Linked DNA regions of Canis lupus familiaris. The protein of the gene in region 1 purifies or fractionates together with the protein of each later gene. This does not show direct contact. Links are inferred from orthologs where the notes say so. Each region holds a gene or a part of one and is shown on either strand. Other genes may lie near its edges.

Evidence for each region. Proteins that work in one complex are often made in the same cells at the same time.
Region 2: the proteins of FBXO7 (region 1) and PSMA6 purify together in Homo sapiens (affinity purification with mass spectrometry; 3 studies listed by BioGRID and IntAct, with this or other methods). This does not show direct contact. The link is inferred for Canis lupus familiaris from reciprocal best matches to the Homo sapiens genes FBXO7 and PSMA6.

What each region holds. Positions count from the first base shown.
Region 1 is NC_049231.1:31,993,445-31,997,061, reverse strand, and holds part of FBXO7 (F-box only protein 7), read left to right. Parts: intron 1-522; coding exon 523-664; intron 665-3,046; coding exon 3,047-3,130; intron 3,131-3,617. UniProt on the Homo sapiens protein: Substrate recognition component of a SCF (SKP1-CUL1-F-box protein) E3 ubiquitin-protein ligase complex which mediates the ubiquitination and subsequent proteasomal degradation of target proteins and plays a role in several biological processes such as cell cycle, cell proliferation, or maintenance of chromosome stability.
Region 2 is NC_049229.1:14,184,296-14,188,477, reverse strand, and holds the start of PSMA6 (proteasome subunit alpha type-6), read right to left. Parts: upstream 2,816-4,182; 5' UTR 2,712-2,815; coding exon 2,636-2,711; exon of another isoform or gene 2,301-2,635; intron 1-2,300. UniProt on the Homo sapiens protein: Component of the 20S core proteasome complex involved in the proteolytic degradation of most intracellular proteins. This complex plays numerous essential roles within the cell by associating with different regulatory particles.

The DNA.
Region 1 (3,617 bases):
TGATGCTGCTGGTCTGTGGGCCATGTTATGAGTAACAGAGCTGTAGAGCAGCAATTCAGTGATCATTGAACACCCGCAGCATGCAGTGCTCTGAGCTGGGAAATCAGGATATAAGGAGTCTGTAAGCGGGGGAGAGAAACAAATAAAAAGAAAAATATGATGTATTCTAACATAATAGAAGTGTGTAGCAATAGGAGTATGAACAGAATGTTAGGGTGTAGAAGAGAATGACAAACAGGATTTTTTTTTTTTTAAGGACTCACAAAATGATCTTTGAGCTGTAGGTCTTGAATAATGATAGGGCTTTGCTGGGCAGAGATGTGAGTCTTTAAAGAGAGAAATCAATCCCTGTCTCATTTTTCTATCAAAATTTTACTAACGATAGTAATGATTTGACAAACTTTATTTAAGGGGACTGTATGGAATGCTTATTTCCAGACAAGTTAGGGGCCTCTTGGATTTTTAGTCTTTATGAGAGTAATACTTTTCCTCATTATTTGTTTCTTTCATTTCATTCCCCAGGGGACTGAGGCTAAAGCTCTGTCCATGCCTGAGAACTGGAAGTCAGGTGGTGTGTATAAGCTGCAGTACACGCATCCTCTCTGCGAGGGCGGCTCTGCTGCTCTCACCTGTGTGCCTTTGGGAACGCTGATTGTCATAAATGGTAATTGGATGGCACGGCCACAGTTGTCAGTTTACAGAGCTGACCTACCTGTTCCTCTCCAGACATCTTCCGGCTGCTTCAGTGACTGGCTGTCGTGATCTAGTTGAGTTTTTCTTGTCTCTTAATCCCTAGGCCGCTGATAACACGAGTCTGAAAGGTCATAGGATACATGGGTTGATGTTCAGTCCGGCAGACTTCTCTCCCAGGGCAGCCATGCCCTTCAGCTATCTTACCCTTGTGATGCTTTTGCTTCAGGGGGTGTTGTAATCATTGGAGTGAGATGATCTATTACATATGGGCTCTGTCTGCCTGTGGATGACTTTATGTTTATTTTTTTGACCGAGGTCTGGAGCTGAGAGGTGGTAAGAGGTGATTGAGTGGGGATCACTTTTGATCCTGTCTCTGAACAGTGATGCTTACAAACACAGCTAAGCACTGCCTTAGTGTGTGTGCGCTTGTCCCCCACACCCGCGCCATCAGGAAGGTCACTCTGAGTAGTTGCTTTGTGTAGTTTTCTTTTATATTGGCAGTTTCACAGGGATTGCTTTGCATTCCATTTTTGTATTTCATTTTAGCTCGAAGCCATCAGAAGTCTCTATCTACCCATGATCTGTGGAACGAGCCCATAATCACACATTCTGGAGAGCTAGCGGAGTGACTGGAATCTTTCCTTTCTGCTCTGCCTTTTTTTTTTTTTTTTTTTTTTTCTGCTCTGCTTTGATTTTTAAGGTTTATCCCCTTAGCTGGATAAGATAGTATGGTGAGATTGGAATGACTGCATTTTCAATTTTCCAGGAGAGCTCACCTTTCATGGAGCAAAGGCAGTTGCTTCCATACACCTTAGCCCCTAGTCTCAGCAGCTACTGGTTCTGCTGAGGTGGAGGAGGCGGCTTAGGAGACCCCGTATTGCCACTTGAACCTGGAGCAGCACCATATTTGTCTGTTACATTTATTGAGGTCTCTTGTAAAATTTTGTTTGAAAAATGTTTGTTCTGCAAAAATTTATTTTGAAAACCATCATCCTACACTGTCTTGATCTTTGAAATGAAAGATAGTTCCAGGTTCCTCGTGATGTGATTTCTGCTACTTCCCTTTAATCACTAACTAGATTCTTTGAAATGTTCCTTTCAAGTCTCAGATTTGAACAGCTTTAACAGCTTTGGTGGTATCCCCATTTGTCAGGATGTGACTTTCCAGTGGCAGGAGGACTAGTTCTGTCTCCTCAGTGTTCATTACAGTGAGCAAGTGAAACTTCCCACTGGGAGTTCTTAACACGGAACATCAGTAGTTTCTGCTTCCCCGTCGTTCTGCTCCATCCCATCATAACTGCAAGGCTGAAGCTACCCAGCAGTACATAGGAGGTGCTCATGCTCATTTTTGCTTCTGTTTCTTAGAAAAGCACTTTAACATCGTGGATAATAGCCTCTCTTCACTGGTGTCAGAATCTGTAACATAAAGAGAATGGCTGCTAGATCTCTCCATGGCTTCTTAGTTTCTGTTATCTTGTTCTTTTACTGTTCTTGGCACATCAGCTACTTGTAGACTTGTGTGGCAGCCAGCCACTCCAGGCTTGATTCTTTGAAAAGGAGCAGTGTGTCCATAAGTCTTTCCTTCACCCAAGACCTCCTGTTCAGGGCACATGTGCATAAGCACATCACTGGCCTTTCATGGAATGAGATGAAGTGCGCCTTTGTATATATGATTAATGTTTGAACCCTCTGGTGATGTCAAGAAGATTGGTCCTTTGGGTCTAGAAAGATGATGTGAAAACCTAGCAGGATTCTTTTAATAAACAAGGAAAGATTCATTGCCAGGGGTTAAATAAAAAAATAAGTGGAGTTTTTAGTGACTTTGTTAGAAGTAATGGATTTATTATGGTTTCACTGCCTCTTACTAACCTTGCTGTATATCTTTAAGTTACTAATAAGGTGCTATTGGTAATACCTATTGGGTTTTATATAAAGGGTGCATACTTTAGTTTTTTTTTTTTTTAAATCTTAAAGATTTTATTCATGAGAGACAGAGAGAGAGAGAGAGGCAGAGACACAGGCAGAGGGAGAAGCAGGCTCCACGCAGGGAGCCCGATGTGAGACTTGATCCTGGGACTCCAGGATCACGCCCTTGGCTGAACACAGGCACTCAACTGCTGAGCCACCCAGGCTTCCCCATACTTTAGTTTTTAAAGGTGTTTTAGAGTGATTTTACTTGATGTGATGGCAGCTTTACACTTTGCTGTGAGGGAAAGGAAATAAACATAGAGCACTTTGTTTTCTGTAACGTGTCCTTTGTATGTTGGGACAGGGAAATGCAAACCCATGCTAAAACATGAAGGCCATTAATGAACTGAAAAGAATTGTGTGTCTCTCTTTTCCTTATTTACAGCTACTCTAAAGATCAACACTGAGCTCAGAAGTGTGAAAAGATTGCAGCTGCTGCCAGAATCATTTATTTGCAGAGCAGAACCAGGTAAGAAAAGCATGATTGAACTTTGGGGATGAAGCTTTGAGATGCTCACTTTAGAACACCTGAAAGGAAATGTCTGAGAGATTGAAACTTTCTGAATGAGATTAAAGCAAATTTAAGACATGTTGCAGAGTATCTCTTTCCTGCTTTTCTTAGAGTCTTGGAGTGCTGGGTTATATTTATATTGCCATTATGGAATGACAGAAGTATGTAATTCATCCCACACTATGCTGATATTCTAATTTCTGAATTAATCTTTGGATTTTTCCAGCATCATATTTAACCAATATGGAGAGGATCTGTGTTTTGTGGAAGCTGTACAATGCACCATCATTAGTGAAGATTATTGGAGGAAAAACTACTCAGAATGTTGGCTTAAACCAGCATAGATTTGGTTGCTGTTTGATCAGATTGGAACTTTACGAGAAGTTGCCATTCTAGGCACGGTTTTGCTTGTATCCTATAAGATTATTAATAAATGCAGAGACAA
Region 2 (4,182 bases), on another chromosome or scaffold:
TAATCAGGTTTATTTTGTCCCACCTGGGCCTTAGTTTCCCCACTGATAACTTGGGTAATTTCTGAAATTAGATTTCAAAGCTAGATGCTCCGTGTATAGCTCTACAGTTTTTCTACACACACACACACCCACACACCCACCCCTTGAATACATTCATTAAAATAAATCTGTCCATAGTTACTAAAGAGTACAAATGCACAAATGACAATCAAAATTCTTTCTCTTATTCCCTGGGAGCAAGCACTGTCAACAGTTTGCTTATAATTAAGGTTAGCATTGTAACTTTAAATTTAGACCTCTATCTTATGATTTATCAACTTTAGATTACATTTATCTTTTGAGTACCAACTATGGAAGATGAGGAGCATACACTCACCTTTCCATTAATCTTTCTTTCCTGTTATCTCTCCATTTTTGCTATATTATTTTTCCATTATCAAGGTTAACAATTTGCACTCATAATTTTTTTAAAGACTTTATTTATTTATTCATAGAGACAGAGAGAGAGAGAGAGAGAGAGAGAGAGAGAGAGAGAGAGAGAGAGATGCAGACACAGGCAGAGAGAGAAGCAGGCACTATGCAGAGAGCCTGACATGGGACTCGATCCAGGGTCTCCAGGATCACGACCTGGGCTGCAGGCGGCGCTAAACCGCTGCGCGACCGGAGCTGCCCTGCACTCTTAATTCTTGTATGCTTTGTCTCTGGTGGATTCTGAAGTTTATAAACTCATAAATAGCATTTACAATGTTATCATGATGTATAAATCACTAGAGAACCAAGCATGGATGGACCATAATAAAGAAAATACTCCATGTCTACAGAGCTACTAATCTAATAGACAAAAAAAAAAAAAAAAGCAAAAGAATCAAATAGGTATCTAATAACACTTATTGAACACTTAATATTATGCTAAGCAGCCTACATATATCATTTTATTTAATCCTCAAAACAACCACACAAGAAGCAATTATTAACTCAACTTTGCAAAAAAGAAACTAAAGCTAACATTGTGTATCACTTGCCCACCTTGGCTAGTATGGAGCACCCAGGGATCTGAATCCAGGTATGGCTCCAGGGCCTGAACTCTTCACCACTATACTGCTTGATCATACTATTCTTTCACTTTCCTTCTCCTAGCAATGTCTTATTAGCACCCTGAATAGTAGAGACAATATGTTATTCAACAAGGCAGAACTTCAAGTCATCCTGTCTATATATTAAGCTTGTTTTTGACTACATGTTTTATTCCAAATTTTAAAAAATTATTTAACTGACACAATATCTAGCCTTTCTACTCACCAAATCTGGGAAGCATTAAAGACTATGTTTTATGGCTGGATTTCAAAACATAGTATGGGAAAGCAAAGTGTAGTTCTGACTTTTCCTGTTCACATATTAAGAATGACAGAACATTTAAAGCAGTGGTCCAACATAGAAAAATTCTTTAAAACTCGGGAAAGAAACTATAGATGAAACCTTCTTAAGGATACAGTTATCTCTCTTCTTTGATCTTATTTTTCAATCGGGGGGATAAGTTAAAAGGGTTACTGAATTACCTTGGTTTCTTGCTACATTATATACAGTATGCAGCCATATACTGGGTAAATTTCATTCCCAGTTATTTTTTAATCCGATTTCTAAAATACACAGGTGAAGAGAATCTCATTTATAGGCCAATTCTCTCCTTATGATTTCTAAGTACAGATATTACTTTCCTCCCCCCAAATCAAAGGATCACAGGACCAGATGTAAATCACATTCTCCAGATCTCCTATGGCAGGAGGTTAAGGATCCGGGTTGTAATTATAACCTAAGCCCTGACACCACTTCGATCCAACAAAATACATTGTTACACTGAGTGAATAACTAATTTTGGGCTTATTTCCACTAAAGCTGTTCTTTCAGGAAACAGCTAGTTCACCGTACCTCACCTACAAGTCAGAACCAGCTTTTGAACTATTTAGAAACGGTCAGATGTGGGTTAAAAGGGCATGCTAGTTTCAACAACACCTCTAGAATTGACAACCACTCATTCACTGTCAATTTTCCAAAGACGTAGATACTTGTAATTTGACATCTTTTCTTTTCATCCGTTTACATATCTATCACTCCCTGTAAGCTGTGTGCTACAGTACAGGAGAGTGTGTGACATCTTTGCACGCCGCAGGACCAGCAGTGTCTGGCACATAAAAGTGTGGAATTAACTACGATAAGGAAGTGCATGCTGCAAACAAAGGAAAACGGAGAGAAGCGTTTCAATGGCAAGGTTAAGGAGCCAATTATCCTCTAGAGAAGTACAGACGTTGGGCCCACCCAGGCCAAAATGTAACAAGCGAAGAGGCATCTGGAAGCCACAGTCAGGAATTGCAGTCCTACCTACCTTTACTCTTTATTGTGTCTAGGCGTTGCGGCCGCTAGCCCCGAAGAGCCCGAGGCCTTCTGCCAACGGGCCGCCAGTCCCCGCCTCCCGAGAGGGGTGGGAACACCGTGAGGCTGGACCCTGCCTCGGCCTTTCTCCCGTCCCAGCTCCGGCCATGCCTCGTTCGCGGACTACACTCCGGCCGCGTCTCCCTGCTCCAGGCCATACCATGACAGAGCAATTCCTGTGGACCAAAGGCGGACTCGGTTCACTCACCTACTTGGTAGAGCCGGCCCTCGGGTGAAAAAATGGTAATGTGACGGTCAAACCCAGCGCTGGAACCACGGGACATGTTGGCGAACCCACTACTTCAAGCACTGTCTCTGAGCCCCGTAGCTCCCACACCAGGCGTACAAATCCCCCCGGAAGTTTCAACGACTGCTTCCGGGGCACCGGCGAGCTGCATCCGCTCCTGCGCGCCGAACTCCGGGCTCCAGCGTCAGGCGGGCGCGGAGAGCTCTCCGAGGCCCCGCCCCTCGTTGGGGGTGGGGAGGGCCGGGAGGCCTTCGGTGTGCGCTTGCGCCGGCCCCTGGGCTGAGCGCTGTGCAGAAGCCCCGTGGAACTGGCGTTGAGGCAGTTTAGAGCTTTCATCTGGCGAGTGAATTGCCCGAGGCGAGGACTAAGACCCTTTCTGGGCGCCCAGACTAGTGATCGGCCTACCGGTGGGACTTAAATGGATGGCGTATTTAAGTCTGTCGTTAGTTTTGGGACGTGTAAATCCAGCTTGGGTCTAGATTGCTGGCGTCGTTCCTAATCTGCTCTGTACTCACCCACTTTTCCTTCCTACCACAGGGGAAAAGGAGTTGCAGCGACTGCGGCAGTAACCGCTCATTTTAGGTACGGAAGGGAGCGGGTTCTGGTAGGCACTGCAAAGAGCAGGGTTGTCTGGCCAGGCAAGACCCTTTTGGCCAGCAGCCCCAACAGTTTGTCTTAGAAATGGAACAGGAAATATGGGTGTAATGGAGGAATAGGAGGTTAAGTTGCCTTGATCGATAATGAACAGAAGGGACGGGGCGTATAGGAGGCTGTTGTTGAATGAATTGATGGGAGTAATTCCAAGCGAACTGGGTAGCCCCGGGAGCACAGCAGGTGGCTTTTCAAATTGTAAAATTGCCTATTTTGACTTTTCCCCAAGGCACACTTCTATTTAACCAATAAAAAATGCAAAACATGACTGTAGGCCGGTGTCATTCCCCCCTTCCCCCCTTAGAGTTTGTGCACTAGGAGGGCCAGTTATGCCAATGTTTCTGGCACTTCAGTGCCTGCTGTAAGTAATATCGAAGTAGGGATTCTTACCTTTTCAACATACTTTTTCCTAAACTCATTTTGCATATAGAGGGGGGAAAATGTGTAAGAACCTCTTGAGTTTAAGGAAGCTCCAATTTTCAAGAATGTTTTTTTAAAAATAAACTTCTATTTTATCAACCTGAAAAAAAAATCCAGAACTTAAAGAAAATGCTAAATGCAAACAGCATCTCTGGCACACCGGGTACCTTCCAGCTCTAGCTAATTTCCAAGCGTACTGATAAAAGTTGTCCCTTGCTTCTGATTCAGATCCCTACCCTCAGGACCACCTCCTCCTGACATTTTCAGTGCTTTTTTCCCCTCTCACACTCTGACTTACCCTGGTATATTGTAATTTCCAGACGTTGCCTGAATAATAATAAAGAGTTCTCTGTAAGGCTGCTAAGGAGGATGGACTGCCTCAACAGCCCCCCCTATGCTGGTGTGTCCCAAACCTAGGTCTCTAACTGGATCCTTCT